Schizosaccharomyces pombe: one gene and its partner. Changing the gene in region 1 together with any one later gene gives a genetic interaction. Each region holds a gene or a part of one and is shown on either strand. Other genes may lie near its edges. The genes, in order: pho4 and asp1.

The links.
Region 2: of pho4 (region 1) and asp1, a mutation in one rescues a mutant of the other (synthetic rescue), as found in Schizosaccharomyces pombe (one study listed by BioGRID).

The regions. Positions count from the first base shown.
Region 1 is NC_003423.3:444,804-449,089, reverse strand, and holds pho4 (thiamine-repressible acid phosphatase Pho4), read left to right. Parts: upstream 1-2,061; 5' UTR 2,062-2,281; coding exon 2,282-3,673; 3' UTR 3,674-3,766; downstream 3,767-4,286. Other genes in the region: nuclear membrane organization protein Apq12, read right to left, coding at 1-156. UniProt on the Schizosaccharomyces pombe protein: May dephosphorylate thiamine phosphates.
Region 2 is NC_003421.2:570,970-576,645, reverse strand, and holds asp1 (inositol hexakisphosphate kinase/inositol pyrophosphate synthase), read left to right. Parts: upstream 1-2,073; 5' UTR 2,074-2,173; coding exon 2,174-4,936; 3' UTR 4,937-5,176; downstream 5,177-5,676. Other genes in the region: U3 snoRNP-associated protein Utp21, read right to left, coding at 1-974, 1,034-1,109; tyrosine--tRNA (Tyr) ligase Yrs1, read left to right, coding at 5,198-5,676.

The DNA of each region.
Region 1 (4,286 bases):
TCCATTGAACAATGATTTTAGGAAAGACGTTTCATATTTTTCGAAACTTTTGCCTACATTTTCAACGGTTTGAAAGACTTGATCAGGATTGGTATTTAATCCATGGTCCACAGCAAGTTTGGCGACGAAATTCCATAAAACGGATGTCAAAGACATTTTCTAAAAAGTTAAAATATGAACGGGGAGTAATAGAGATGGGAGTAGTTAGGTGTGCTTTTTGACTGAATGTTGACGTTGTAGGCGAATTTTACCAACGATTACATTTGCTAATAAAATATGTTAAAATAAAAATTGGAAGATGAGTTGAAATAAACGGTTCTATAAACAAAACTCATTTAAAGAAAGAACTGGCAAACAGATTATGTCAACATATCTCATCTAATATCGAGACTACTGATAAAAAAATCTAATTTGCTAATGACTACAAGCTTTTATTGTTTACTCTTTGTTGCTTACAGTTCTAGTCAAAGGAGGTATTTTATTTTCGTATTTCGCTGTACATAGCATAATTTCATGAAATGCTTTTCTCTATAAATATGCTTTTATAAAGAACTAGTTAATAAAAAATTGCTTATTTCTAAGCTCTTTTAGGATTAGTAATATATAAAAAGGAAGATAAGTATTTTTATCCCTTTTTAACTGGATTGTTATTACTATAAAAGAAAGACTCTTACGGTTGATAATAAAAGCGTAGAGATCAGAAGATAAAAGTAGAATTCACCGCCTATATTTCCTTTGGAATAAATATCCAACAGTATACTTACTATTATAGAGAGAAAATTAATTTCCCTTTGCCCTTTATCATATAAAATGGTTCTTTTTATGCTGAGTGCCTAGCATAATTCCTTCCTTTTCGAAATATCAAAAGGCTTGTGAGACTTCAATTGGTAAATGCTTTAAAGTGAGTTATTACTAGCTCGCTTCAACCACTTCAGCTTGATTCTCCAATAACCGAGTTTTCAAAAGTACTCATTCTTGCAATTGCTATAAAATTTTTATCTTTATTTATACCATTACCATTGTAATATTGTTATAAGGCATCGCTTTACTTACTGAACATAAAAAAAATCTTCATCATAAAATTAATTAAATGTCAGAATAGAAAAAAGTGTTTAGAGGGTCCAACCGTACAAACAAACAACTTTTACGTTTTTAACATTTTCATTTCTTCAATAACCCCACAGTTGTTTTAAGCTATTACTTAAGCGAGGGCTGCACATGACAATGTGGCTAGTATACCCTTTATATACATTTTGAATATGCATATGAAACCCATTATATTAACGCTGGAATAGCGGGAATGCTTGTTTATTATATTAATTTATTCTATTGGAATGAATAAATCTTTTTTCTGGACATTTAAGAACGGCATGAAACAAGTAGCTCTAATAAATTAAATTGTTGGATCTTACTAAAGACTAAATATTAATAATAATTTTCTCCCAAGCTATTTATATACATATTAGAAGCAATTTGCAAAGATAGCAGACTAATACTCTTCAATGCCCAACTTCTTATTAGTGATATACATGTAAAAATATCTTTATTATGCAATATTATGTAGCAGCTCGTACAATGTTTGCACATCTTTACACAATAGTATTCATTTTGTATTACATTATCATTTATAATTCCATTTCACAGAGAGTAGGCATTGCTATTATATAATATAAATTTATATAAAACAAAAAGACTGCAAAATCATTTCCAACTGAAACTTCGTTCTTTAGTTCTATTAAATTATTAAGTATTGGAATATCAGATTTTTGTAAGTTCAGTAATAATAATATCATTATATTACACCGTTGTATTATTAATCGCATAATATTACTGTAACACTTTGTCCGTAATTTGCATCGTTATTTCAGTTAACAATTGTGGGTCCAAAATCTTAAAGTCTAATAGCGAACTACACCAGGTTTGCAACTTCATTCATTTTTTTTAATTCCAATGTAGTCGTGCCGAAATCAGACTTTGGTTTGGTGGTAGCCGGGGTGCTTAGTGTTAGCAGATATCCGGATTGATTGTATATAAATATCTGCTGCTTCTTGCGCTTAGAATAGTCATCTTTTGACTGTTTATTTTAGACTTTTCCTACTTCAAATAATCAAAGTTCGTTGATTGAATAGACTACCGTTCGTTTCAACCCGCTTTTAAATATTCGATCGTTATTTTTTTTGCTATTGAATCGCTGGTCGTTGGTTGATTCATACACAGTAAATTTCTTTCTTGTGGTTTTATTGGGTCTGCTTGGGTTACATAAATTCATTGTTTTTTCTCGATGAAGTTAAGTGGTATTTCTCTATGGCTTTTGGCCGCATCCATCGTTCATGCTGGTAAATCTCAATTTGAGGCATTTGAAAATGAGTTTTATTTCAAGGACCATCTTGGAACGATTAGTGTATATCATGAACCCTACTTTAATGGGCCCACTACCTCCTTCCCCGAATCTTGTGCAATTAAACAGGTTCATTTGCTTCAGCGTCATGGATCTCGAAACCCGACTGGGGATGACACTGCCACTGATGTCTCTAGTGCGCAATATATAGATATTTTTCAAAACAAGCTTCTAAATGGCTCAATTCCGGTAAATTTTAGCTATCCTGAAAATCCTCTTTACTTCGTTAAACATTGGACTCCTGTGATAAAGGCTGAAAATGCCGACCAGTTGTCCAGCAGCGGTCGAATTGAACTTTTTGACTTGGGCCGTCAAGTTTTTGAGCGCTACTATGAGCTTTTCGACACTGATGTCTACGATATCAATACTGCTGCTCAAGAACGTGTTGTCGACTCTGCAGAATGGTTTAGTTATGGAATGTTTGGCGATGATATGCAGAACAAAACCAACTTCATCGTTCTTCCGGAAGACGATTCTGCGGGTGCAAACTCCTTAGCTATGTATTACTCTTGTCCCGTTTATGAAGACAACAATATTGATGAAAACACTACTGAAGCCGCCCATACTAGTTGGCGTAATGTTTTTCTCAAGCCTATCGCCAATCGCTTAAACAAATACTTTGATAGCGGTTATAATCTTACGGTTTCGGATGTTCGCAGTCTTTACTATATTTGTGTATACGAGATCGCTCTCAGAGATAACAGCGATTTCTGTTCACTCTTTACTCCCTCTGAATTTTTGAATTTTGAATATGACAGTGACCTTGACTACGCATATTGGGGTGGTCCCGCTTCAGAATGGGCTTCCACATTAGGTGGGGCTTATGTTAATAACCTTGCAAATAATCTTCGTAAGGGTGTGAATAATGCTTCCGATCGTAAGGTATTCTTAGCGTTTACCCACGACTCTCAAATTATTCCAGTCGAGGCTGCTCTTGGGTTTTTCCCCGACATTACTCCTGAGCACCCTCTACCGACTGACAAAAACATTTTTACATACTCATTAAAAACCTCTTCGTTCGTTCCCTTCGCAGGAAACTTAATTACTGAACTTTTCTTATGTTCTGATAATAAATACTATGTACGCCATCTCGTCAACCAGCAAGTATACCCCCTTACTGATTGCGGTTATGGTCCTAGTGGTGCTTCAGATGGGTTATGCGAGTTGAGCGCTTACTTGAATTCTTCGGTTCGTGTTAATTCTACCTCTAATGGTATTGCTAATTTTAACTCGCAATGTCAGGCGCATTCCACCAACGTTACCGTCTACTACTAGACTTAGCATCTTATATTATTGTTAACACAATTGGGTCCTTAGGAATAATATAGATAATTTTTAACTATAGTAATAGCTTATGTATAAGACTTAGGTATTAAGGAGGAAAAGTAGAGCGAACAGAAAGTGAGCATTTATATATTCAAGAAAGACTTACGAGACATAGTATAAACGAGTTGTGTCAGTGTTTGAACAAAAAAGGAAATACTTATAGTTTTAAATGCCTAGTACGAAATCTATAACCTTCACTCGTACCGCCTTTAGGTGAAGCTAATTCTTCAATTCGACTTACTTCAAAGCCTTTCAAGTGACTCCGTAGCTTTTGTAATTCCTTTCCAAATCATTAATATTAATAGGTCGGGATAAATCTTAAACATTTCTCAAGATATAACGCGTACATTAACGATTCCTTTTGGCGTCAACAACTCACCTTTTACCACACACGAACGACACAAAAGTTTAATAGAATTCATTTAAAATATTTGAAAGTCATGTAATTTGCCAAAAAAAAAATCCCTAGTCCTCCTTTTCCATTACACGGATAAAAGAATCAATCAATCCCTTTTTTTAAACCCTTTAATATCTGTAGCTCTATAAATCAAAATGAACATTG
Region 2 (5,676 bases), on another chromosome or scaffold:
GAAGTGCACACTTTTCCCATAAAACTTAACAAATGAAGGTGGCTCGTAATGACCATTACGAGAACGTAGGATTCTAGGAGCACCATCCATTGAATCAAAGATCCATTCTTTAAGAGAGTTATCTGGACCAGCAGTTACTAATATGGGCTGCCCGTTAAGAAACTGTATCTTTGGAAGTGACCCAAAATGAGCATTATATGTAACATTTTGAATTCTTCGCTTTGAAAGATCCCAAAAAGAAAGGTCACCAATGGGGTTGGAAGAAGCTAATATTGGTGTCCCATCAGTACGGAATGAACATGAAAGAACTTGGCCATCTTGTTTGAATTCCATGAGTATTGAACCATTTTTAAGATTAAAGATTACAATACGACCACTAATAGTACCAACAGCTAAAACATCGAGGACAGGGGCTTGTGTTAAACTAGTGATTCCATCACCAAAAAATTCCTGAAATTCATGTACACGTTTAGAAACACGCAAATTCCAAATCTGTAATGCTCCATCTGAGAATCCTAGCAGTATTTTGTTCAAATAAGTGCTTGGATGTAGTAAACTAGTGATATCTGCATTGGTATTAGGAAGAAATGTAGTATGAAGCTCAGGAACACTATATTTAGAAGCGTGTTTCCATACATAAACATGACGAGAAGATGTACAAGCAATAATCCACTCACCAAAAGCATCTAAATGAGTGACTGTTCCATGTTCTTGCTCCACATCAATGTCCCATATTATTTTACCACGTTTATATGCAAAAATTTTTGATCCGGCAGCTACAAGCATGAAATCTTTAAAGGATTTTAAACAAGTAATTTCCTTGTCTAATTGCTTGCCAACGAAAAGCAAATTCAACTTTTCGCAGTCATATGTTTGAAATGTGTTTCCCACCGACGTTGTTACCAAAAAATGGGTTCCACGAGCCTCAATGTCGAAAGGTACTGCATTGGAAACGTGACCGATGGATCTAAAGGCTAAAAATACAGTTAGCAATCTGTTCATTCCAAAAGAAAAAGAGAGAATTTTGACTTACGAGCATAGATCCTAGATTTTCTTAGAGGCTTCACCGCATTTTCATAAGTCCTCCGTTTCTTCTCTGCAAATGGCATTTTATCACAGGAAAGAACACAAATAGCACGTAAAATGGCAAAGGATGGCTCTTGTCCTGTAACTTGCAAAAAGCAGTGTTTGTGAAATTCTAGCAACCCTTTACGACCTACAGTAATAATCGTTAATTTACGACAGTGTATTTACTGAAATCGATAAATGTGTTTAACGATATGGTCAATCCGTCATATATCAATTTTCGGTAATTATAAATAAGAATCGTTCTGCTATTGTTCCGTTTATTTAAGTAAACAAATTATTTATTATTAAAAAAAAAAGAGAACTAAACATTGATGTCTAATGTTATTGTAAGATTTAATCGTAAAAACATGTTAGCAAAACTTCTACATTCTCTTCAGAATACCTAAAGAACTCTATTCACATATATCAAAAAGTGGTAAGGTAAATCTATGATTGTTGGAATTCTGGGCTTGTAAATAATGAAATAAATTTCAGTAAATTCTTAAAAAATATTTTTCTTTATGTAAAAGGTGCGAGAACAATATACTCTTGAACCCAGCTAGTAGAAGTAATTTTTTAATGTTTGTTGCTTGTAAAATTTAAACATTCCAGTCCACGTGTTTTCGCACGGACGAAAAGTAAAAACCTATTAAACAAAAATTTTTTCTAATTCTTTTTTAATTTAATATTGATGGATTTTACAAGCTTTTACTAAACTGGAAGAATACGTTTTTGAAAGAAGAATAACAGAAACTGGGCTTGGTTAAAAAAATTTTTATGAAAACCCAAATTAACTAACCCAGTATAATTAGTAAAAAAGTTATTCATAGAAGCATTACTGCGAAACAAATTCAATATTCACTGTCCACTTCATTTAAGCAACAATTTCTTATTTATTTACATTTCGTTAGGTAAACAAATGTTACCTCGCTGAATTGTAAGGTTAACCGTACAAGTAACATTGATCGACTAGGTGTGTACTAACACCGTGTACCTACATCTCTCATAACCAAACAAGTGAGGGAATTGGCCATTGAAAGAATACAAGTGGGAAAAAGGTGTTTTAAGCGTTATTAAATATTTTAACGTAGTTGAATAATAAAGGATGATTCAAAATGCAAGTCATCTTACATCTATCGACACAGAGTCATCTACCAGAACGGCGTCGCCTGTTTCCTCAATCGTTACACCTACTAAACGAAATGTAGTTGGAATCTGTGCCATGGATGCCAAAGCTCGCTCAAAACCATGTCGGAATATTCTGAACAGAATCATCGCAGAAGGTGAGTTTGAAGCCATAGTATTCGGTGACAACATGATTTTGGACGAAGCTGTGGAAAATTGGCCTGCTTGTGATTATTTGATATGTTTCTACTCTAGTGGATTTCCATTGAAGAAAGCTGAAAAGTATGTCGAGTTGCGTAAACCTTTTTGTGTAAACGATGTAGTATTCCAAGAGTTGCTTTGGGATAGACGGCTTGTGTTGAACATCCTTGATGCCATACGTGTTTCCACCCCTCAGCGTTTGATTTGCTCTCGTGATGGAGGTCCTAAAATTAATAAAGTCCTAGAAGAAAAGTTGCGTCGAAAGTTTGGAATAGAAATCACAGAGGTTCCTACCCCAGAAGTAAAAATGTTGGACGAAGATACTCTTTCTGTTGATGGCAAGATAATAAAGAAGCCGTACGTTGAAAAACCAGTCTATGGTGAAGATCACAATATTTATATTTATTTCCCTAAATCCGTTGGTGGGGGAGGTCGCAAATTATTTCGTAAAGTCGCAAATAAGTCTTCAGATTATGATCCAGATCTTTGTGCTCCACGCACTGAAGGATCTTTTATTTACGAGGAATTCATGAATGTCGATAACGCGGAAGACGTAAAGGTTTATACCGTGGGTCCTCATTACAGCCATGCAGAAACCCGCAAATCACCCGTAGTGGACGGAATTGTGAGAAGGAATCCACATGGTAAGGAAATTAGGTTTATCACCAATCTTTCAGAGGAAGAAAAAAATATGGCCTCTAAGATATCAATTGCGTTTGAGCAACCTGTTTGTGGATTTGATCTTCTTCGTGTCTCAGGTCAGTCGTATGTGATTGATGTGAATGGATGGTCCTTCGTCAAGGATAACAACGATTATTATGATAATGCTGCTCGAATTTTGAAACAAATGTTTCATGTTGCCGAACGTCATAGACGGAATCGTGTACCTTCAGTCCAAGAAGTTTTAAATCCTCCGCCTAGAGAAAGTGAGGCATGGAGACTTAAAAGTTTGGTCGGAGTCCTGCGTCACGCGGATCGTACACCTAAACAAAAGTTTAAGTTTTCATTTACATCTGATCCATTTGTAAAATTATTGCAAGGTCATACCGAGGAAGTTATTTTAAGAAACGAACAACTCAATTCTGTTTTGGCAGCTACCAACCTTGCTACAGAACTCAAATGCGAAGATATCAACAAGTTAAAACAGTTACGCTTAGCTTTGGAAACGAAGAAAGACTTACCGGGGACAAAAGTGCAACTTAAACCGGCTTATTCCCCAGAGGGAAAGCTTTTGAAACTGCAGCTAATTATCAAATGGGGTGGTGAATTTACTCATTCCGCGAGATACCAATCTAAGGATTTAGGAGAGCAGTTTCATAAGGACCTGTATATTATGAATCGTGATTGCCTGAAAGATGTCGAAATATACACATCTTCTGAAAGACGTGTCTCTGCTTCTGCTGAAATTTTTGCAATGGCCTTTTTGGAGCAAGAAACTATTCCTAGCGACTTACTCAAAGTTCGCAAAGATCTGTTAGATGATTCTAATGCTGCCAAGGATACTATGGATAAGGTTAAGAAACACTTGAAATCATTATTAAGAGTTGGAGATACGGCTAGAAAGGAGTTTACTTGGCCAGAAAACATGCCCAAGCCTTGTGAAGTAATGCAACAAGTTGTTCAACTCATGAAATATCATCGCGCAGTAATGAGAGAGAATTTTATTATTTTGGGACCTGAGGTTGAGCAAGTTCAATCGCGTTGGTGTTGTAATGAAAATCCTGCGCTCTTTAGGGAAAGGTGGGAGAAGTTGTTTAGCGAATTTTGTGACTCTGAGAAAGCAGACCCATCCAAGGTTTCTGAACTATACGATACATTGAAGTATGATGCTCTTCACAATCGGCAATTTTTGGAACGCATATTTACTCCCTATCAGTATCTCAAATTGCCTCAGAGTCCAAGCTTGATTGCCAAAGAGCCTCCCCAAAGAACCGATAGCAATGGCAATCTTGTTGGGATGACCGGTGCAAATACTAATCACACTGAAAGGCCGTTGGAAAAGTTGTATGAGCTATACGATTTAGCAAAAGTATTATTTGATTTTGTTTCTCCTCAAGAATATGGTATAGAACCGAAAGAAAAGTTAGAAATTGGTTTATTAACAAGTGTACCGTTGCTTCGTCAAATCATACATGACATTAAAGAGGCACGAGATTCTGATCATGCTTCAACAAGAATGTACTTTACTAAAGAGTCTCATATCTATACCTTGCTTAATTGTATACTTGAATCAGGACTACCTATGAAATTACCTAGAAATCAAATTCCCGAATTAGATTATCTCACTCAAATATGCTTTGAGTTATTCGAGAGGACTAATCCTTCAGGAAATAAGGAATTTTCTGTTCGTATCACACTCTCACCAGGTTGTTATGCCCAATGTCCATTGGATATGAATCTTGATGCTAAACACTGTATTAGCGTTTCACCTCGCAGGTCGCTTACAAGACATTTAGACCTTCAGCAGTTTATAACGAAAACCGAGGACCTCTGCAACTCAGTTCATCTTCCCAAAAGGTTTATTCCTGTTAACATTAATTAACCGCTTTTACCCTTTTTACGAATGTTTTGATAACATAAACATTTTTTAAACGATATTTTATTAGTAATTGCACATAATTAAACCAAATTATTTATTAAACCTTGGTTAATAATTTTGTCTGAATAATTTGTTGTTCGGGTTGCAGTCACGGTGCCGCGGCAATTCCGAACGTTGATCGCAGTCCATGATTGCAATCGAAAACATCGTTAACCAACATCACCAATTTTTGTGAGTTCCATTTAACGTTGGATATCAAGCAAGATGTCGCTTACTCCGGATGAAAAATATGAGTTGATTACTCGTAATCTTCAAGAGGTGCTTGGCGCCAAAATGATTCGCGAAATTTTGAATGAACGCGATATCAGCTTGTACTGGGGCAGTGCACCTACTGGCCGTCCTCATTGTGGTTATTTTGTGCCAATGATGAAGTTGGCTGATTTTTTAAAGGCCGGTGTACATGTTACTGTTCTTTTAGCCGATGTCCATGCTTTTTTGGATAACATGAAGGCGCCGATGGAACTCGTTCAACACCGTGTTCGTTATTATGAAATTATTGTCAAATCTATTCTAAAATCGTTGAATATTCCCATTGAGAAGCTTCGTTTTGTCATTGGCTCCAGCTATCAGCTGAAGGAGGATTATACCCTTGATAACTTTCGACTTGCTGCATCTACGACAGAGCACACTGCTCGTCGTGCCGGTGCAGAAGTTGTCAAGCAGGTCGCTAGTCCTCTATTGTC